3 linked regions of the Drosophila melanogaster genome follow. The gene in region 1 interacts genetically with each later gene. Each region holds a gene or a part of one and is shown in the gene's direction. Other genes may lie near its edges. The genes, in order: shakB, jus and para.

Evidence for each region.
Region 2: of shakB (region 1) and jus, changing one suppresses a phenotype caused by changing the other (phenotypic suppression), as found in Drosophila melanogaster (one study listed by BioGRID).
Region 3: of shakB (region 1) and para, changing one suppresses a phenotype caused by changing the other (phenotypic suppression), as found in Drosophila melanogaster (one study listed by BioGRID).

What each region holds. Positions count from the first base shown.
Region 1 is NC_004354.4:20,821,342-20,828,995, reverse strand, and holds the start of shakB (shaking B), read left to right. Parts: upstream 1-2,539; 5' UTR 2,540-2,649; coding exon 2,650-3,008; intron 3,009-3,354; exon of another isoform or gene 3,355-3,480; coding exon of another isoform or gene 3,481-4,704; exon of another isoform or gene 4,705-4,706; intron 4,707-6,712; exon of another isoform or gene 6,713-6,850; intron 6,851-7,654. Other genes in the region: CG15450 (uncharacterized protein), read right to left, coding at 3,481-4,704. UniProt on the Drosophila melanogaster protein: Structural component of the gap junctions at electrical synapses in distal and mid-depth levels in the lamina. Isoform Lethal forms voltage sensitive intercellular channels through homotypic interactions.
Region 2 is NT_033777.3:29,190,958-29,198,942, reverse strand, and holds the start of jus (julius seizure), read left to right. Parts: upstream 1-3,949; 5' UTR 3,950-4,055; intron 4,056-7,985. Other genes in the region: CG14515 (uncharacterized protein), read right to left, coding at 876-1,309.
Region 3 is NC_004354.4:16,523,283-16,531,155, reverse strand, and holds the start of para (paralytic), read left to right. Parts: upstream 1-3,741; 5' UTR 3,742-3,879; intron 3,880-5,740; exon of another isoform or gene 5,741-5,934; coding exon of another isoform or gene 5,935-7,854; exon of another isoform or gene 7,855-7,873. Other genes in the region: Cnx14D (calnexin 14D), read left to right, coding at 5,935-7,854. UniProt on the Drosophila melanogaster protein: Mediates the voltage-dependent sodium ion permeability of excitable membranes.

The sequences.
Region 1 (7,654 bases):
GGGCGCAAGGATTGCGATCACGAGACCCGATTGGAGTGGTTGCCCATTTGATTCGTTACGTCACACGTAGGTTCTATCAGTCAGTCAGTCAATCAATCAGTCAGTCAGTCAGTCAGTCACCCAATCAGTAAATCAATCGTGCCACAGTGCTCGGTTATCGTTGTCCCCTACATCATCAGTAAAAAGCAGAAATACAATACCAAGCGATTAAGACATGCACATTACTGTAAATACTCAAAACTAGTTTCATAAAAGTAAAAACCAAAAACCGAATACCAACAACAAAAACCGAATAACCAAATTGAGAAAGTGCAGTGCTCAGTGTTTACCGACAAAGGAAAAAGAGGCGGCGTGGAATATCGAGTGGGGAAACTTCAAAAGTGAGAGGGCGGCCGGGGGCTGCCCCGCAAAAGAAAATCTTCAAGATCAACAACAACGAAATCAACCAGAAAATCCACTATAACAAGAGAAACAACAGCATAACGCCCCCAACACTGCCAATGACATTGCCATTATCAAGAACAACGTTCGTTCATCATCGTTCGTTTAGATTTGACACAAGTGAGTCTAGCTTATACTATCATACTATCTATTTTATCTATTAGGTGGTTTCACTTTAATTTAAAACTCGAGTTCCGTGGCCTAAAAGTATCGAAGTTACAAAAATATTGATACCTTTAGTCTACTGACCTAGAGTTTTCTTTTTCGTGGAACTTCGATATGCATTGTAAGCACTATTAGTTATAAGTGAACTGTAAATATTATCCCTCGTCAAAATATAGTTGTCATACATATAAGACTAATACTCTTGCCGCATCATAAAACATTCAAAAGTTTTAAGGAAGAGCACTTCCTACTCTTAGAAGATCTTTATGAATGTAAAATTCATATTTCAAACATTGATAGCTATATTTGGTAATTGTATATATGTATATTCCCTGTCTAAAACCTAGTTTCCATACATTTTACGGATCTCCTTGCTGTGAGCCACATCTCCAAAAACCAATTCTACTTTGCTTACTTGAGACTACAGTTGCTTTTGCTGTAGCATGTTAATCACGTCCAAGAAATCTTGATGAGTGAATTATTAATTGGAACTAAACACGTTATCCAGAACTGTTTCGTGATTAAACACTATTCATTACGAAGATGCCGTGAGAAATTCAATTTATATGATTTACCTGTTGATTACCTGCCAGAATTGGTTTTAATACCTAGCCGAGTTCTTAATGTGAAAATCTGAATTTTATAATTAATTTATAAAGTAAATTTAAAGGATAAAAATACCTAAAACGTAAAGTTTAAAAGAGTAAAAAAATTAAGGGCCATAAAATAAATTCTTTACCACAACTTATACTACAACTGTAGGAACTTGGAACTAGATTATGCATGTCCCACAAAGTAAGTGATTTAGGGATCTCAGTGAAATACTCATTAGCGCGTCGAGCTGATTACTGAATAGCCCTTAGTGATTAGCGACTAGTGTCAAGTGCCATCAATCAGAGTTGCTTTCGATGAATCACTTAGCCGACAGCTGCCGCGAATGCACTCGTTGCAAATGTGGCGCGTCGGAGGGCGAGTTGCACTCGCCATCCATCAATTAGTTGAGCACTTGCCACCCCCACCACCCAGTTGCCCACCCACTCAGCATATTCGTTTAGTCAGGCGCAACCCCGCAGGGGAACTCCCGCGTGTCCATTCCCTATCGCAATGGCAATCTGCAATCTGACAAATCAAATCTTGTATGCAAAGCAGCCAAAGCAAAGCGGCAACTGGCGACACGAGCAGCAGCAAAAGCAACAAGGCGACGAGCAATTTGTACGAGCATTTGTGCCAACAAAACGCTGGCACGCAGGCGAGCAGGAAATAAGGCAAGCTGGAGAGCAGGAAATCAGGCAAGCAGTGAGACAGGCAAGCGAAGTGAAAGCACGCAAGTGAACTGGAGACAAAGCGAAGCAAAAACAAAAGCATAGACGCAGCTGAAAAGCGCCCAAGCAAAAGTATCGAAAGCAGCAGAAAAGGTACCAAGACGCAAAAGTAGTGTAATAGTCAAATCAGATAGGTTAGTAAAGTTAGGTAAGGCAAGAAGGAATTCGTAGGCTAACAAAAGCTGCAAAGCACGAGAAAAGCAAAAGCACGTAATAGATATTTTCAGAAGCAAGAAAGCGAACCAGCAGATGAAAGCAGGATCCAAAAGAAGAAGACTAGTCTGAAGAGGAAAGCAAGAAAGCAGCAGACAGAAGAGCTAGCAGGCAAAGCAAGTTAGCAAGCAAGCAGATATAACAAAAAGAATAGCAGGAAAGCAAGATAGCAAGCAGGATACCGAGCAAGATAGCCTTATTCCAAAGCAAAAATCAAACAGTCAAGTAACCGATAAGGAAGCGAACGCAAGCAGATTAGCAGTAGAGCAAGTTAGCAAAAAAGCAAGTAAGCAATATAGGGAGCAGGAGACGACGACTAAATAGTTGCGTGACCAGCGCGCTTTGCTCACTAAACAGCGTAATTGGTCATAAAGCGACTGCTGCGAATGACCCGCACGCCGGACTAACCGACCGTTTACGGCAATTACTAACCGGAGCAGAGGAGGTGACAAGCAATTAGGCGGTCGGCAGGCGGCGGCGGGGGGTCGGCCGGCCCCCCCAACCCCGGATGTATAAGCCGGACACGCTCACGCGCCGCGGCAGCCTGAGATCCCTGCGCAGCGCCCCGCTCCTGAGCACCGTGCTCGAAAGCACGCTTTCACTGACCCGCATTCACCCGATCGCCTCCTTGGAGCTACCCGGCCTCGACTATGCGGTCCACTCGCAGTCGGCCTTTGGCGCCTACGGGCTAGCCCACCCCCGGGATCTAGCCACCTGCACCTCGTTGCGCAGCGGCCTTGCGGCGATCACCGCGGCGTCCGCTTCCGCCGCCGGCGGCGTTTCCCAGTCGCAGAGCGCCCTCCTCGGAAGGTACGGGCCCAACGCCTCGATTCGCCACGGAGAAAGAAAGATTGTCCAGCCAAAACGGTAGGTCCTCGCTATCTATAAGGTCACCACCACCATAGGGACTAGAGTCATATGTCATGAGAGGTCTAGTATATCATATCTAGTTAGTGCTTATCTGGGGTCAGATCCAAAGGACTTACGACAGAATAACTTTTTATAAGTGGATACACAGCATCCGGTTTAACCATTTAATAGCTTTGTTTTAATCAATCAGTTGTCTGGCTATCAAGAGATAGAAAAGCATATAATAATTGGTTTATAGAATAGCCTACAGAATGCAAGGGGTCTTCCCTTCTGGTCATCGAGATTAGCTGCTCCACCACTTCGCGGCCAGAGAACAGTAAAATAAGTGAATTTATCACATTTTGCTCTCTAAAATATATCGATCGATTTACTAGTATCAAAAGGGTCATACAATCAATATACCAACAGCGTACGGTATTGCAAACGGCGATATGAAATAGCCAAGGTAAGAACCTAAGCTATGCTTGAACTATTGCCAGTCCCTGACGGGACTCCAGCGTTTTAGGTTTCCGTCCCAGGGCAGATCATCGATATTCGCCTGGGCGGCGATTGCGGCCTTCACTCGATTCGAAAACTCTACTGGGGACTCGTCGTTGCACCGGCTGAGTGCCGGCATGTACCAAACATCGCAGCAAATGCACCACGAGCTGACCACCATCAGCATGTATCTGAGCATAGAGTAACGGGTGCTGTCCCAATAGGCCTCGCCGAATCGGCGATCGTATCGAATGGCCACTGGATGAACGACGTCGCTGACCGCGAAGCTACCCTTTTTGAACTGCATTACGGCGGTGTTGTTGATGCAAGTGCCCTCGGGGAAGAGCAGGACCGGCGGCCGATCCTTCATGGAGCAGTGTAGGCGGAGCACCAGACCCAGAGCCTCACGATCGGCCAGTTCCTTGCGGTCGAACCACATGTGGTGGGAGACCCTCGACAGGGCGCGCTGCAGGACGCCCAGGATGCCGGTGTGAACCTGGCCCGTCAGCGAGTAGTTGGCATCGCACATCAGCACCAGGACGTCTAAGGGGCTCGTGTGATTGCACACACAGATGCCCTTGGTGGGCCGATACTCCGTGTTGTGGAATCTGCGGATCATCGGCAGGCAGGCGGCCGTGATTCGGAAGCACTGCCGCAATACCAGCTCCACCAACTTTTTCTTGAAGCACCAGTCGGGAATGTGACCCAGCAGCATTGAGACTCCACTGATCATGAACAGGCACAGCCAGCAGCCAATGGTCCTGAAGGGCAAAAGCAGTCCGTAGCGTACAACCCAGCCCAGCAGCCAGACCGTCCTTAAACGCCAGCTGAGGTATCGATTCCTCTGACGAAGGTTGCGGGTCAGCAGATTCCATTCCCCAGCTGGCGAAGGTGGGGCCACAAACCTCTGGGTCACGTCGTCCTCGAGCACCAAGCCCAAGCCGGCGGTTATGAAGTCGCAGCACTGCTCCACTCGGATATTGAGACGATTCTTGATCGGCGGCGAGAGCAGCTTCTCCATGCCATCGCCCTTATTTCCGACCGCCCACTTTTTGCCCAGGCGGCACCGTTCTTCGCGAGCTCGCCTCCTGCGAGTTTCCGCCAACTGATTGCCTATCCAGGCGAAGAGGAGTTCCAGGACATCCAGGTAGCGGCACTGCAGCCAAAAGAAGGACGCCCACAATAGGATGCCCAGGAAGACCAGTTGAATTAACATGGCTGTTGAAAGTTGAAAAAGTTTTACAAATTTAAGAGAAATGTAGATCCTCGTGTTTACCTCCTACTCCTATCGACAACAAAAATCTATTGAGCCTTGACAGCTAAAGCCCACGGGCTAAAAAGCCCATATCTTAAACTTATCCAAACATAGCCCACTGGGAAAACGTTCCATAACAATAGCATTGGTTGTGGTGCGGTTTAGAGGTATTTAGGAAAAGGGTTGTCGATAAGAACTTCCAGCCCGATACAAATTTTAGTAATTCTTAATGAGCTGCATTAATACGAGTATTAAGTATAGGAGTTCACCCACAAATTTCGCCATTAAAGCCCTAATTCAATTTGGCGCCGACTTTTTGGCTTTTCCTCACATTTTTCCGTTTTCCGAATATATATATATTTTTTTTTTTTGCAAGCGCCCAAAAGTCTTGATTTATTTTGCCCGAGATGTGAAGGAAAAATAAGAAAGCGAACAAGAAACTTTGCCATCGACTTCCCTTTTTTTTTTGGCTGCCAGTTGGGTTTGAGTTTTTGGGTCTTTGGGTTCGGCGTTTTGACTGGGGTCTTAGCCCATATTTTGTTTTTTCATATGGCAATAATTCAATTATGCCATAACAAGGCCGCAAAATGTTTGCCTTCGGGCGACCCGAAATCACTTAAAAACCACAGAAACTTCTGGCTTTGTTAATTCGTTAATTAAATGGGGTTTGCGCTTTCGCCACCGCTCCTCGAGGATTACGCAATGAGCGATGATGGCGATGGCTTGGCGGTATGTTGGTATGATGGTAAGATGGTGGAGCTTCCTTCCGCTGCCCTCCATTGATTACATTGGCTGGCAACAATCTTGGCTTATCAAATGCAAACAACGGCGACAGGCAACGTCAACGTCACCGACAACTCATTTATGCCCAAGCCCGGGCCCTTAATTAGCATAGAATGTGTTTTAAAAAGCCACTTGAGCTAAACATTCAAAACACCTACAGGGTGTTTTCCCCAGCCACCAGACACCAACCTTCTGCCCCATCCTCATCCCCATCCCCATCCCCACTACCTGTCTCGCGCTTTTCCTCGCTTTTCCACTTTTCCAGCGACAACGACAACGACCTTAGGCGCTTTCTGCGCGGGAAAGTATCTGCGTGGCACAGTTTGGCAAGTCTGAGGCCGGACAGATTTAAATACCCTAACTGCCGAAAGCGAGGAATTCAAATGAAACCAGCGACTGGGGGGCCACCGGAAGATTCGCAGATCCTTCGTAAATGTCAGGGAAACAAATTAATAGAGTCAAATTCAATAGATATGAAGAAATAATCACTTTTTGAATACGGATTAATATATGGCAAAAATGGGCCTTCAATTTTCAAGACCCAATATGATCTGATGAGCACCGATTTAAAAGTTGAATTCGATTTTCGGCGTATAATCTATATAAGCTCTATTACCATTAAAAATCTTCTTCTTTAATTTCTTAACCATGCCGATTCTTCAGTTCGCTCACTTGGTAATCACCACACTAACCAGTAACCAATAGCCAGTAAACCCTTCATAACCACTATTGCCTGCTTTCCATATCGATCGATTCGCATACATTCAGTTAGGGTATCCGTGTGTCGGTGTCGCCGCAGCAGCGACCACGGCAGCACGTGACGCTCAAGTGTTGGGATAAGCATTTCCGCTCTTCAGACGCTACACGAAAAAAAGCGCCCCTCTTGTGACAAAGCGCTTGTTGTTGTCGTGGAAAAGCGGTGGGAAAGCGTCTGGCGAGGGGAGGGCGGGTGGCAGGGCAAATGAGGGAGCACAAAATTAAATTGTGACGCTGGCGCTCCGACACGCCCACATGACGAGGCGCCGCCACGCCCTCCTGCCATTCAAAAGTAATTTAGCGTTTAAAAAACATTTTTCTGCCTGACTTTTAAAAAGTTGCGCGTAATGCGAGTGTGTGTTTGGGTATTTGCGTGCTTTGCGCAGGTGAAAAAGCGAACCAGCGCTCGGAAAAGCCGCCACTCACTCACCTAGCTGTTGTAGCCACGTTTCGATTTCGATGTCGTCGTCTGTCTGATCCGCCTGATTGTATGTTGTAATGGCTCGGTAAAGGAAGCGAAAAAACCTACTGCCTTCGAAATTTTTGTGCTTATTGACTTTGACGTTTCACCAACCGGCTACGTGAGTGTATTTATCAAGGAGTGAACTGCCGGGAAAATCTGGGAAAATGTCTATTAAAGTGCTGCTTAGATTATGGAAAATCTACGCTATGACAAAAAAAATGGAAGAGCAGGATAATGAAATAAGGGAAGTTGTTAGCACTTTCGCATGGAATAAAATGGCATATTACAAAAAATAACAGCAACGCTTTAGTCGAGTACTGCGACTATTACAACGTTTATGCTATGAGGTATCGTGATCTCTTGAAAGTGTGAAAGCAAATTATCCCCTGATTATGCGGCATTTCAAAAATTCGTGAATTTATTGACCTCATTTATTGGCCTGATTTATTATGCCTTCGGAATCTTCCTGTCTAATCTAAACTTTTTAGCTTTAATAGTTCCTAAGATCGAGGCGTTCATACTGATGGAGTCGGCTATTGAGTGGGATCAGAAATATATATATACTTTATATGGTCGGAAACGCATCCTGTTACGTACTTTTCACCGAATGTAGTATACCCTTTTATTCTACAAGTAGCGGGTTTAAAATGCTTAATATGACGAACATTATTTAACCAATTATTTTGAAATAGTTAAAATAATGTTGATAATATAACTCTGAATGCATCAATTAAAGCTTAGTTTCTTGAACTATGTATTGTGTAATTTGAATTAAAGAAAACATTTAAGCCAAGTCATAGAAGCCAAGTCACAAGCTAGAAAATCCTTTTGCCATTAGATGAAATTAAAAGGCATCAGTCGAGAAATAATGTAAACAATCAAGTGGAATAATGACAATGGAAAAACATT
Region 2 (7,985 bases), on another chromosome or scaffold:
CTGGACTACAGTACTTTCAAATCAAATGGTTATGGAGAAAATAATACATTTTATAGCTTATAATTCTGTGCATTAATTCCCTTAGTGTACTATGATGATTGATTTCAGATCTTGTGCAAGATGTGTCCATAAACTTTGCTTGTCTGTTTGTGATTAATACCCATATTTGCATATTTTGGTTTTGGTAGAATGACAAATGAGACAAGTGTCCGGAAAATAAGTTTTGTGTGGTTAATTCACAGTTGGCACTTGTCTATGTTGGCCAGTGTTATCTGCCGACAAAGTTGACAAAGTTGCATAAAAAGCATTGACAGCTTTTCTTTGGCTTTTTTGAGCTTGTCACTGTGCGGCGTCTTTGCCGTTTGATGCCTTTTTTTGTGGACCATTGATGAGGGGTGTGCTCTTTCCAAATAAATCAATTACATAATGCCTTTTGTGCGATTATCCGGCAAGTTTTTGTCCGCCTGACAATTATGCGCGCATTACATTATGTGGGTCAACGTGGCGTATGATTAATGAATCCCTTCACGAGGCACAATGATGTTGCCACGGCTTATGCTACTTCCACCGTCGCCTCCGATGATAATGATGATTATTATGAGGGTGATGGGCCATAGAAGACACGAACTGCGTTGTACGAAGCCAGTTTTGACAAAGTGCTTCATTGAAACTGTCCGAAAAAATGGGTGCTAAGCGGTCATTTATTTTATTAAGTTGGTAGTGAAACTTCTGCATGCATTTAAGTTGTTTGCTGTGACTGTAAGAGCACTACTTAACACTGAAAGTTAGTTCGATTATAGATTCTAGATCTTTCTAATAATTCCATTGGCTTGAGCTATATAATTAACCCACTCCTCCTATAACTTCCAACTTACGTGAAGTAGACTTGTCCCCGCTTATTTTGCGGTGCCTTCCAGATGAGCTTGGCGCCCAGCTTGTCCCGGTTGTCCGAGTGCGTAATGGCCGAGCACTCTGGAATGGTCTTGGTGTTCTCGCTCTGCACCCACTCGCCGATCCACTCGTTCGAGTTGGCATCACGCGCCTGCAGGAAGAATCCCCGGAAGACGGTGCTCTGGTCCGAGTGCGGGTAGATGACCACCGATATCTGCTGGCCGGGATGGTAGGTCTGCGCATCGGCCACCACCTCGTACGGATTCGAGTGAGCCGGCTGACTCCGGGCCTTGCCATGATTCGGCTGATTCGCCCGCTGCTTCACGCACGTGTCCGCCGGAGCGCCGTCCGGAAAGGCGACTGCGGCGCCTATCAGCAGGAGCAGCTCCAGCGACAACCACTTGAATCGATCCTTCATGGCTCTGGAATTCGATTTTCCTGATCGTGGGAAAAAACGCGCGCGCTCTCGGCTAATCTGACGCTGAAACTCGGCTCGCCGCCGCCATCGCCGGCCGCTTATAAACCCAAGCGGCAATGCCACAAGCGACGCTGCCGCCGAAGACATGGGCGGGCGGTTCAAGTGGACAGATAGCCACAGTCGGGGGTGTTTGAATAGGAGCGTTTAGCTATCCAAGAAAGCCAGCTATTGGAGAAGTCAGTGCGCTAAATCATCTTTTTCTTGACTACGATAAAACTTTTTCTAAAAAGTTATTTGTACTGTTTAAAAAAATATTCAAAAATATGCAAAAATATAAACGAATATTCCACGCTTTTCTTCCAGAACTCTTTGCTGTTGATCAACTGTTATGATAAATAGTAATTAATAGCCTTTGATAACTTTATTTACTAAACAATTGCACTAAGACCCAACCGTAAATCATTACTATTATTTTATTTGGTTTTTAATTCTTAAAAGAACTAACACGGAATGATGTGTCAAGAATAAATCATTGACAGATGCCAGCTGCCATCCCAATAGATTTTCTTTGACTAATTTATGGCCGCAGCGGTGCTATTAAGCTGACCGCAAATGTAGTGGGGCGCTCAGCTGGCGGCGGCCAACCAGTTTTTAATGATCAAAAAGCAAATGGCCAAAACACACAGAGTTCCTTTCCTGCACAGTGATCCAAACTGGGTCACACATTAGTCCCTCCCCTGGTCGACGAATCGGATTTCTTTGCTCGGTTTGGTGGTCTGGGCCCGAAACTCTGGTGCTGCTCTAAGTGCTCCATTGCGAAATTCTATGCTTCTAATCGCTGAAAATGTTGGAAAATGTTGGAAAATGCTGTCCGCACTGCAACATGTTCCGCAGTTTGTTTACTTTGCGCCTGTTCGCTGCATTTTTCAGCGCGTTTTAATGTTTTAATTGACAGGCAGCCGCCGTTGGCGTTGATTTCGCTGAATTGAGTTGGCTCCGGTTGGGTTTTTCCTTTTTCTGATTTCTCAGTTGTGATTTTTTTCTGGCAGTTCGCTTTTCCCCCTTTGATACCGCTGCGTTTCGCATTTCACAGCTTCAGTCGGCGGTTTCCTTTCTGGGATCCGCCAACGCCATTCCTTCGTGGAATATGGTTTTCCACCACCTCATTTTCACTTTAGTTTTTGGCAAGGGGGATAATTGCAACAGCTGCTGTCAGTTGGAATACAAATGGAATAATTAAGTCAGTTCTTTAACTTTAAGCATTTGCTTAAATTTTCATTTATAAATTGTTCGGAATGTTTTAAAATAGTGTTTATACTCATTAAGAGAAATAATTATGCGAAATAATTATCAATTAAACTATAACAAATGGCACACAACACAGCTATGTGTTTTATAATTCCTATTTTCGCAGCATATTTTATAGCTAGAATGGTAACTAAATAAAAAATATAAATAAAGTGCCCAATTATTTCTGCTCACTTTAATTATCTTTTTTTTTTTTTTTTGTTATTCACAAGCACTGCAAACAGCATACCGAATGGCACACAAATTCTAATTTAATAAATGCGCAAATGACCAACAACACTTCGGGCCAAAACACACTTTTAAGTGCTAGTGTGTGTATCTACACGCACTCACACTTTGGGCCAAGTCAATACCAAACTTGTTTCATTAATTAAAATGTTCGGTTAATTATTCAAATTGCACGTGCCAGCGTCAGCAACTTTTGCGCACAAAACTAAATTGTTTGCTTTTGGCAATGTGTTTGTGCTGAAACGTGATAAATAATACTCTAGATTGCTGAACTTTACAATTGGACATTGGCGCTTATTTGCATTTCAAGTTGGCCGCACTGCAAAGGTCAGTTAACCCGGTGGCTTTGCTTTAACCGAAGGATCAGCGGGCCGAAAGGACATATCATCCATTATGGATGCGGCGAATGCGAATTTTCAACTCCCTGCACTGGGCAGCAGCATACCGAAATTTTCGGCCATTGAAAATGACATTTGCGCCACATCACACCAGGTCTTGTTACGCTACACAGAGAAAAATATACTAAAAATATTATAGAATTTCATTTTATTATGAATTAATCTATTCATATTTGTTTGATATTTTTGATTTTTTTTATATATAAAATACACTATTTACAAAACTTTAACGCATCAAGTCATGCCATTATCATAGAGTTTAAAAATATAAGTAAGCTAAATATTTTATCAATTAATATCTATATATAATATATATATAATATGCAAGCTGGTAATGTGTTTCTTTCAGTGCATCCATCCTCCGGCCAATGCATGCGAAATTTACTTCAACCTAAAGTACGAAAAAAGTGGGCAAACGAAGGAAAACTGCCAGCCGCCTTAAACCGATGTGCCATGTAAATAGTGGAGCTTGTGGGCTCAGAGGGGGGGATGGAGCGGTGGCCCGAGGAGGGGTCGAAAAATCCACTTCATCGGCGACGGTTGGCGCGGAAAAGTGTGTCACCTGCAGGCGGGAAATGCGCAGGTCCTGTGAGAGGAAAAGCGGCTGCCGCCTGATGGTGACTTTTCCTCGCAGACTTTTCACCAACGCCACATTCGCATTTTCCACCAAGGCTGTGGGAAATTCGGCTCAGAACGTGGTCAGACGTCGAAGCGCGTGGTCGTCGAGTTTTCCGAGAAAATCCAGTGGGAAAGCAAACAGTGCGAGGCAGCAGCAGCAGCAGCAACAACAACTATCTAGAGCAAAGGAAATTGTGAGCAATTTGTATTTTAGTAGTATATTTCTTACGCGCGTGAGTGTGTGTGTGTGTGTGAGTCAGTGAATGAGTGTGTAAGTGTGTGAATGTGGTGATGAACCGAACAGCGTGCAACAAGAATAAAAAACGAATGCCCAAAAGTGCCAAACACAAACAACAACAAAAAAAACGAGATGAAAACAGAATATACATAAATGGCAAGCAAATATTTTTCTTCTTGAGCAGGGCAAAGAAAATCACAAACTGCAGCGTATCCATGCCCTCAAACCAAAAAAAAAAGAAAAACAAAAAAATAAAACGAAGAAAACAGTGAAAAGCAATCAAAGTAATAAACGAAAAGGGGGGAATGGCGAACCGAACTGAAAGCAAATCAAAAAAATCAATGCCCTTTCTGCGGAATTATACGTTGCGTATACGTGATATGTACCGAGGTAGCCAAGTCAAATAATAATAAAGGAAATTCTCACGTGACGCATAAAAAAGCCAAGCTCGCACACACACACAGCGATGGCAACAGTAACACGGCATGCCCCTCAAACATACGCACACAGCGGTAAACTTACTACCTGGGACACAAATTGAAGTTGGCGAAACATATTTGCGCAGCAAAGTTGCTACACGCAGCGAAAACTCGCTGCAGTAGTTTCAAATTGTGGGGGGAAACTGTGATAAACACAATTCATAACCAGAAAAGAGTTGAACTAATCAGAAATCTATAAAAGATCTTAAAGTTATGGCTATTTAAAAGCAATGTGGTGCCTAAAGTTGTGGTAGTGCCTAAAAGTAGGCAATGGAATTTGTCATTCGTGAAATGTGACTTGCTGCGTATGTATATAAGTATGATTTGTGTGAAATATCATCATAGCACTGATGAAATTCAAACATTTTCTCATCTTTTCTTGCAAAAGTGTCCCACTTTTCTCCGCCTGCATTTGGAAGGCACATGATTATGATGAGCTTGCCTCGCAAACTTGTTTCTTTTTTGAGGCTCGTGGCTCGAAAATGACAACAGCTGGATGGCCGAGTGGGTGGGTGGCGGAAGATTGCCTTTTGCCGCATTTGTTGCCGCTATTTTGCATACATTGAATTTAATGAACTGCCTGTGTGCGGTGTGTTGGATTTGCTTTTAATAATTTAGGCTGCGCGCGAACTAAATGGCGCTTTTAAAGTACGAACCGTCAGGCGACCCCAATATGGGCGACAAACGGGCGAGATGAGGCACAAATGAAAATATGAAAAAGGGCAGGGAAAACACGAACCATTTAATGCCCCTTCGCACCCTCGTTGCGCCTGTATGGATACGCTGTGAGCTGGTGTGTGTGTGCAACCCCAAGTCGGAAGGGCAGACATACTAACACACTTCAGCCGGAGGACTACGTCATCCTGGCCCAGAAGCTTTGGGGCCAGCAGCCCCCCCCGACAAAGCCAAGCCAAACCACTGCGAACCGAACCCAACCAAACCAAAGCGAACTTCGCTGGGAGCACAACTTTCCCTCGACGTCGCCACATTTTCGCATTCACAATCACATCGCGTGGCATATCCATAGGCGTAAGGATACGGCATAGGCACATGGTCTGGCCTCCACTCACACCATCACACTCGCCTTGCCACACATATACACACAGAGTTTGGCGAATGTGCACATGCACAGTATAGGTGAAGTTATAAGGACTCGAGTTGCGCTGCTCCTCCTTCGGATCGATTCCGGCTAACACAGACTTTGCGGCAGTTGCCGTTGCAAACACTTGAAGAAAAAGGGTGTAACTGTGATCACGAACAAGTCAGCTGCATTTAAAGAATCTTTCAGACTTGGAAGAAGTTAAAACCCTTGATTAGATTGAGATACATTTGCAAAGCTCAGAAGAAAGTAGTGGATAGTTATCTTCTATCTATTTAAAAACCTTTACTTGGTTACATTTTCCGATATTCTGTTTCTATATCATTCGCTTTAGGATCACCTTTCTTTCAGTGAACTAACTCCAATTGCAGTGGCAGTTACTTCGCTACTAGCTGCACGACAATCTGCATGCGGCATGACATCGCGCAGCCGAAGGATCTCGAGGATATATGTGGCTGGCAGGGGGGCGTTGCCGATGGAGACGTCATCAATTTCCATCCAGCCTATAAATACAACTAAAGTATATATGCCACAATGTGATGCCTTTGCGCCGGCGGCAAGTGTTGCAGTAAATTTCGAGGAGATCCGACTGCCGGCATGACCCTTGACCTTCGACTTGCACCATGTGGCATGCCCGTTTATGCTTCGATTTGCCGCCCTATACGCCATATCCACCCCACAGCCCCACGCCACCGCTCAGGCAAATGCAAAATCATTTGCCATCGAAATCGCATGTCGACCGGCAGAAATAAAACTGAAAAAAAAAGAAGTAGAAAGAGCAGACATGCCGTATAGCAAACCGAAAACCCAACCAGAAATCCTTGTCGCACAGTTTGCGTTTATAATTTATATACGACGTTCCCCGTACGAGGAGGCTTCTCTTGTTTTAGTTGCGCATTCGTCCTTGTCCCGGCCAAGTATCCGTATCCAAGGCGGACTCTCAATCGAAATCCGCATGGAGGAGGCCTTTAAGTGCGCCCGCTGGCATTTGGTGCTCCTCCCGTTTAGGCCGACAAGCTGCCCGCTTTATGGCTATTAAAAAATGCATTTAAATACACACCACGGCCTGCCATTTACCATATAAGCCATATACCATATAATCTTCGATGCGGCCTGCGTCTGTCTCCGGTTTTCGCTTCTCGGGCCTCTTCAGCTCCTCCTCAGCTCGAGTATGAGCTCCTTTGGGGCGTTGTTGAAAATTGAAATTGCGCGCTTATTTATGGAGCTCTGGCGGGGACGCTGGCGTTGATTGCCGTAACGCCCCATTGCCTGGTACATGACTATAATAATGATTGCCATTTTTATAGGCCAGCCAGCGCCGGCGCTGCGAAGATAAATTGTTTGGCTGCTTGGAAAATCGTTTCGCTTCGACATTTGAATCCTTTTGCTCGAAACTATCTGCTTGATTTTCCCCTGGCAAATGGCTGCTGCGGTGGGTCAGCGCATGAATGCCAATGAAGTACAGCGCTAGCCACGGCGTATACTTAATTTTCGGGCAAATACTTCTAGATCTTTCGAGGGCTGACAGCGCTTCCCATAGGCGCGGTTAGCTTAAGTGCACTAATTAATTTTGCTGAGGTGAGGCTGTCCTTTAAGTAGCTTAAGGATAACTAAATGCCGCATCTCTGGGGCTTTCGCTGTGTGTGTGGGTGTGTGTGTGTGTTCACCTCCAGGATAAATAATAAAATTGCCAGCGGTCGACTGGCCCCGTTTCGCTGATGACACAGAACCGAGGAGTCGAGTGGCCCGGAGTCGAAAAGTCGACCTCTGACACCCTCATTATCCTACATGTGTACAGCCACATAGTCCTTTATATGTGCGGCAGCACGTGTGGAATATTAAGCAAACTGTGCAAACAGTCGTTGTCACATTAACCATGTCATGGCAAGTGCATATGCCACTCTATCACCCCCGACACTTGGCTCAGCGATTGTGGAGCCGTGCACTGGGAGAAATTATAATGGCATACTTCATATAAATAGCGATATTGCTATAATATCTGCATTCAAACAAATAACTAACTAACTGTCTCCTTCAAAGTTAGATGTAACATTACTCGCCAGAGCTATGATATTAGGTTGTTCATAGCAATTATTTCTCTGAGTGTATGCCACCTTTTAGACCATGTTCTATTTATAGTACACAAGCGGCACATATTTTATTTTTCGTGCGTGATCAATGGAGTGCGCGTTGCAGGCATTATAATGACCAATGACCATCCAACGGCACTCGATTAGCGCCACTTCACGCCGCTCTAAATGGATTCCAGAGCTTGTGGATTCCAGTGACTAAGCCTGGAAAAATCGCA
Region 3 (7,873 bases), 4.3 Mb from region 1:
AGGGACAAGGGTGTCTCAAATTGCCTTGGCTTAGCTCACAAAAAATTGAACCAAAAAAAAAAAAAAATGCGAACAAAAATACGAAATTGTGCAACGCTATTGAAGTTTGAAGTTGATTTCTAATGAAAAATATAGCCATTCCATACGTGTACATGCATTAAAACAAGCTGTATGCAGGACATGGCGGTTAATTGCCAGAAAAGCGAATAATTGGAATTGTTCATATTTGATTCAACAACAGACATTTATAACAGTTATTGTCACGAAAGCGCTTTCATGATTGTGGAAATCGTGTAGTCGAATTCAAAGCTTATTACTGACAATTGCGTTCAGAGAATATTTCAGTGCCGTGCAAATCCCTAAAGAATTGAGGTTAGATAGCAGATAATAATGGTTTAATTTGCATATTAAGCAATTTTAAGCCAGATTATGTTAGTAACATCATTTATTTTACTTGCTTTCTTAGATCAAGCAACTTAGGTACTGTCAAAATTGTTTAAACATTTATGGGTGCCACATTACAACGAAGGATTCATTTTTTATGTGCCTCTTGCCGAGAACTTGCAAGGACCTCGTCGAAACCGAAAGGACACGCAATTGTGGCCCAGAATCGAAAGCGAAAACTTTCCCTTCCTTGGCCAAAATCTATAAACTTTCGTTTATAAAACGCACTAGCTGTCATTCGTGTGCGATTGTGTGGCTTTCGTGTGGCTATTTGGCTATTTGTGTTGCTTTCGCGACTTCTGGTCGCTATAGAAAACCAAAAAGCTGAAAATATAGTGAAATGGCATGGGGAACACCCGTTAAAGAAAGTACCGATGTGTTAAGACCAGTCCAAATGGGTGTTACAATAACTTTGCGGCTCGTCCAATGCCCAGCGGGTTAGGCCGGTGCCATTCGGCCAACAGCCTGCCACCAGCCTTCCATCGTGCTCACCAGCTTGTCCCGGGGCGAAGGCTCCGCAGGACCCCCATACCATTGCATCCCATGGAGAGGGACGGAAGCCCAGCCGGAGCACCACCAGTCACCAAATGGCAGTCGCAGTTCAATCTGCCCCTGGGTTGTGCGTGTTCAATTGGCTTCCAGCCCCATTGTTGTTCTTTGCTCGCCCTTTGCCTGTTGTTGGCTTTTGGTGTAAAAAATTTACATAACCCAAATTGATGCATAAATAAATTATTAAATACGTGACGTGCAAATGGTCAAAAGACCAAGCTAGCAGCCATCGAGCAGCAAACGCAAGTCGAATAGCATGTGTGCAAGGCTCTGGCCTTTGGCTTCCATTGTGCGAATCCCAAGGGCTTGCAATCAGGACGCAATCCAATAAGGAGATTGTGCTCTCGGTAATATTGCCATCCATATGCGACCTGCGACAAATGTCTTATGTTACGCGAAGATCCTCACTGCGAATTCAATTAGGAGCAAGGCCAAGGTTCATGATCCAAACGAATTCCAAATCATTGGCTCCCATTATGGATGAAACTGTGATAAATAAACATTAGTCCCAAAGAGAAATTGGCAATTTAAAGGTTTCTAAGTACGCTATTGAGTACAACTATTGAGTGCCAGGAAATGATAAGTCCAAACTTATAGTATTACACACTTAAGAATGAAGTCAATTAGGTTAAATTTATAGCAAGCTTAAACGCTTCGAAAACAGTTTCCTGATTTAAAAGCATTATTACTCAAACTCCCACAAAAGCTGCGCGCTTTGGTGACCCCAATCCAGTTAAGACACACACACACACACACACAGTTAAACTCCATTGTTTTCAATTTGTTTATACATATGTATGTACTTGTCCATTTGTAAGGACATTAGGAACGCAGTTCCTTAATGTGTGCAAATGGGTGGGCTGACTGGTGACTTGGTGACTTGGTGACCCCGCCACCGCTGGGTTAGATAAAGTTCGGATAGGATCGATTGGTCGGTGTCCAAGATGGGGGGCCCCGAAAAGCGGGTCAGCATGATTTGCGATTATAGCTGATGCTCCATATTCTCGGGCCACATTAGTTATGAACGCAGTCGGACTTGACTTGACCAGTCCAACTGGTGCCAAACGCCCAAAAATAATGACCCACTGTTGCAATTTTCGGGCAGAGCAGAGCCGTGGAATATCAGCTTGATGACCTAAAAATAGAACAAGTGACCAAAGACAAATAAAAAAATGAGAGTCGGCGATGGCGAATAGTATGTGGCAAATGGCGGAGAATAGCGAAGGGCGAAAGGATAAGCAGCGAAAAACAGGGTGGCAAAGTAGCACAACAAAACCTGTGTTGACAACGACTTGGGTGGTTATATATGGCAAATGCTTTAGGGCGAAAAGGACTTCTCACACACACACAAACACACACACGCGCGAACTGCTTCTGCTCCTTTTCGCGGCAAATTCGGATAAAAGGAAGTCACGGCGAAACGGCGGACAACTGCCTGGTTCGCCCGAAAACGGAGTTACCCAGAGAGGAGGAACTTTTTCAGTGCTCAGTGCTCGACTTTTTTCCGCATCCTTGTGTCCTTTTTCAATACTGCTCTGCGTTTCACGTGCGCGCGAAAATTGCATAAACACAAACAAGCCGCGACTCGCTGCCTCGACATTTTTTTTTACAGTGCATCCAATCCAGTGAGACATTATCCTGCCAATTGAGTGCTCATTTTACGTTTTTTTTTTCGTGTGTCTAAGTGAAAGCCATCAAGTGTGTGAATACAATTTACAAGCCCATTTTAAATATCTATTGAAGAAATATAACAAGTTTAGTAGAAGGAATCAAATAAACTAACGACATAATTCACATAATTGGCACAAGGACAGCAGAAAATCTAACATATAAAAAGAAATAAATATTAAAAAAAATAATTTCAAGCCATTCAAACAATACTAGGGGGTGCTTTTAGTGGGCCATACAAATTATTCGAAATTTTTTCTTCCGATAATATTTTTTTCAATTTTTTTTACATTTCTGTCACCTTTTGTGAATGAGTTTTCCCATCAAATTTTCCAATTTAAGCTGGGTTTCAACAACTTGTTCGCTTTTCCGCAGGCGACGCTGACGAAATTGAAACTAAAACCGAAATAAAATCTGCAAATAATAATAATAATACTATTAGTCATAATACGGAAAACCAATTATAATCATAGCAACAGTTGAGAAACCAAGCCGAGGCAAACTCATTTAAATATCCCAGCCAGGTAGCCAGATACTAGTAGAAATAATACAACAAATAATATTAACATTAACTATAAATAATAAATTGAAACAGCTCTGGGAACAAAACGCAACGTTTGATGAAAATTTCTGGCAACACGTCTTGGTTGTTGTTAAGCACGCAAAAAAATTAAATAAAAAAACCAATTCAAATACCCAATGATAATGCAGATTTAACAAACAAAACCAAAACAAATAAAAGCAAACAAAAATACAAATATAAAAAAAAAACCAAACAAAAAAACCAAAAAACAAAACAAACAACAAATTCATCTTCTACTTGTTCTACCGCTTCAACTTTATTCGTCTTCGTCTCCGTAATATATATATATATATAAAATATACATATATATATATTTATATATATATATATCTATGTATATGTATGCATATGTGTGTGAGTGCGTCGCGTGTGTGTTGGTGCCTGTAAATGTGTGAGCCACAACAACAACAACTACAACAACAGCAGCAGCAGCCAGAGCCACAACCACAACAACAACAACAGTAGTTAACAGCAGCAACAATTCTTAGCAGCAGCAGCAACAACAACAATACAAGCAAGCACGCTCACAACAAAAGCAGCAACAGCAACAACAACCACAATAGCAACTACAGCAACAACAACATCAGCGGATAGAGCGAGCAGCCAGGCACAACATCGATAGACATCGATTAACGGTAGGTAATCGAAGGCAATCGAAAAAATCCATTTAATATGTATTTTATTATCACATTCATTGCACTTTTAATTATGCTAATGATATTTAACCCTAAACAGAGGAAAAAAAATCGTGAAATTTTTTATTTGTTGAGTTTCAACTATTTCCGATACCTTGAATGATTTATTCTTAAGACTAAACGATCTTTCGAGTCTAAAAGAACCACTTTTATGATGAATTCTTACAATTAACACATAGTGGAAATGTATTGAAAATAATTATGTTATCTATGTTAGAGCAAACAGGCTAACAATGTGTTATATTAGAAATTCTCAGCTCTTACTTAACTTACTTCTCAGCTCAAAACAAAGTCATTAATTTACTTTTCATTTTGGTCAAAGAGAACTACATTTTACTGGGTCAATGGTTCAACTTTCATTGAAAGTTTTTAAGAAACCCACATTTGGTATTCCCATCGATTGCAATTTTAATATAGAATACCAAAAAGGGCAATTTACGCTGCACGTCAAATGAGAATTTAGAAAGCAATTGTGTCTTTCGTATGTATTTCAATATTTGAATAGCTAGAAAAGTGTGAACGGAGCAGTGGGCGACTTGATGAACTTGGCTCGATTATGTCATGCCTCCTTGGTGAAAATCCCAGTTAACCAGGCCCGACCTCAAGACCATATCAATGGGGTATCTGCGCCCCTTTTTGTCCCGCCCACTGGCACGCCCCTTTGCTTTTGGGCTACAACCTTTTGCTGGCTTTTGGAGGGCAAACTTTCAGCTGCCACAAAAAAAAAAAAAGAACAGAGCAGAGCAGAGCAGAAAAAAATGAATGATGAAGGTTGAGGGGGGGGGGTGTTTCTAACGGAATTCCTTTGCTCACGCACACATTGAAAGGAGGTTCGTTAAGAGAGAAGGGAACCCAAAAATGTATTGTTGTAGTCCGTGTTTGTTGGCGGCATCACACAGAGAAGTGAGAGCGCAAGAGAGAGGGCACTGGCTCTCTCGGCGCAGGCAGGAGGAGAGTGAGAGTCCTCGCTCTCTCGCCAGCCCATTGCGCTCTCCCATGCAAAATTCATTGACTAACAACATGCTAACTTCGTTCAGTTTTTTGCTGTTTCTGTTTGTTTTTTTTTTTAGTTTTTTAGTCCTTTCCTTGCCATCGAATTTTGTTCAACAATTAATAGGGTAGCAGATATTCTGTGTTATATTGCCAAATCGATACCTTGGGTTGGCTAAGGAAAACGTTTTGCGTTTCGCTCATGTGTTTGTCATGTGTCATTTGCATATTGACACAAATTCCGGCTCGGGTTGTTTTTTATTTCAATTCTTGTTTGCGGTTTTTCGCATGACTCATCGACCCAGCGAATGGCCAAAAATTAATTCGGCAAACAGAATTTTGCGAGTGTCATGAATGGAAACAGACACACATAAATATATGCTCATATTGGCACATCCACTGCCACTCTGTGTGTGTGTGAGAACGCTACCCTATGCTTCATGCCTCCGTGTGTGTGTGAGTGTGGCGAAATATCGAACTGACCTACTTTTATGCTCGATACACACACACACACACACACGCACACACACTGGCGCGCTCACACATACACACACGCAGCCAGATTGGCAAATGGAAAAAGAGTGCTTTGACCTTAGCGGAGGCTGCTTATGTAAGCCCAATATCCGAAGACCGCAGGAACATCCGTAACCGAATCTAGATTCAATTCTCACATTTTCTGTAGTAGCGGTAGAAGGTAGTGTTAGACCGTTTCAAATAAATGAAGTGCTTATAATATTATCTACATTTTAAAAATCATAATCGTATTACCTATTACTAAGCTATCTATGTAAGTCAAATCCAAAATTTATACAAACAAGCAAGCGGCGTCAATAAAGTCATACGCATTAAGGCTCAGTTCAGTCAAGTCAACCACTTTTCACAAAAAATCGTTAAAAATCGTTAATTTCTTCGAACGTCGCTATATTAAAAAAACGCAAGGCTCAATTCAGTCAATCCTTATCTATTCCAACTCTGAGTAAGCGAGCAAGCGAAAAGTGTGTGAAAATGGCTTGGAAAATGCTCTTCGCCATTTTGTTGCTGCTGAGTGCGGCCAAAACCGGCTATTTGGCCCCGGAGTCGGAAAACTCTGTGGAGGATGTGCAGATAGAGCCCGGCGCCATCTATGGCGATGAGAAGTTTGCCTACAAGAGTCCGGTGATCGATGCCGAAAAGTTTTACTTTGCGGATCACTTCGACGACGTGGAGGCATCCCGAAAGAGATGGGTACTGTCGCAGGCCAAGAAGAACGACATCGCCGATGAGATAGCCAAATACGATGGCATCTGGAACTGGGAGTCTCCGCAACGCATCTTTTGGGCAAACGATCTGGGTCTGGTGCTCAAGTCGAAGGCCAAGCATGCGGCCATAGCCGCCCCCTTTCGCCAGCCGTTCGATTTCAAGTCGAACAAGCCGCTGGTGGTGCAGTACGAGCTTACGTTGCAGGAGGGTCAGGACTGTGGCGGCTCGTATCTGAAGCTTTTGTCCGCCGGAAAAGGCACGGAGCAACTAAATCGCTTCAATGACAAGACACCCTATACCATCATGTTTGGTCCGGACAAGTGCGGCAACAATTTGAAAATGCACTTTATATTCCGGCACGTCAATCCATTAAATGGCAACATCACCGAAAAGCACTGCAAAAAGCCAAATGCCCGTTTGGGAGTGCCATTCACGGACAAGCTACCCCATCTCTACCAGCTGGTGGTCCGTCCCGATAACAGCTTTGAGATTCGCTTAGACCACAAGATCATCAAAGAGGGTTCCCTGCTGACCGACTTTGTGCCACCAGTCAACCCACCGGCGGAGATAGATGACCCCAATGACCACAAGCCAGAATCGTGGGATGAGCGGAAGAAGATCCCAGACCCCAATGCCCACAAGCCCGAGGATTGGGACGAGGATGCTCCACCACATCTGCCCGATACCGATGCCGTCATGCCAAATGGCTGGCTAGAGGATGAGCCCGACATGATTTTCGATCCAACTGCCATCGAACCCGAAGATTGGAATTCCGAAATCGATGGCGAGTGGGAGGCTCCTCTGGTGGAGAACCCAGTGTGCAAGAAGGCCCCCGGCTGTGGCAAGTGGAAGGCTCCGCTCATCCCCAATCCCAACTACAAGGGCAAGTGGAGTGCACCAATGATCGAGAACCCCAACAACCAGGGCAAGTGGGCTCCCAGGAAGATAGCCAATCCAGACTTCTTTGAGGATCTGAAGCCCTTCCAAATGACGCCAATCAACGCTGTGGGTCTGGAGCTGTGGTCCATGTCCAGCGATATTCTCTTCGATAACCTGATCATCACGGACGATGTGGAGTTGGCCCGTGACTTTGCTGCCAACAGCTTCGACATCAAGCGTCTCTACATCGATCGTGAATCATTCGGGAATAAGGTAGTCGAGCTAGCTAGGGCCAATCGAGCGATCTGGGGCATTGTCATAGTGGCCATTGCGGTGCCGGTTGCCATTACCATCTTCTGTAAATTTGGTTTAGGCCCGAGTAGGGTTGCGGCTGCCAAAAAAGCTGCTGCTGCCGCGGCCAAGAAGACCGACGATCCTCAGCCCGATGATGACCTGGGGGCCGAGGAGGAGGAAAAGTTGGAGAAGGGGAAGAAGGAGGAGGAAAAGAAGGAGGAGGAGGAGGAGGAGGAGAAGGAGGAGAATAAGGAGGAAAAGAAGGAGGAGGAGAAGGATGACGAGAAGGAGATGAAGGATTGCGAGGAGGAGGAGGATGACGAGGAGAAGGATGACGAGGAGAAGACCGACGAAAGGGCCGCTGGTGATACCAACAAGGAAAGCACACCGCTGTCCGCTAGTCCCAAGAAGAACCAAAAGTCTTATTTAGATAATAACGAAGATGAGGAAGACACATTAAAGAACAAGGAACCTACCCCAAAAAAAAGGAAGCGTAAAGCACTCAAGGAGTAAGCGGGCATCCGTAGTCACT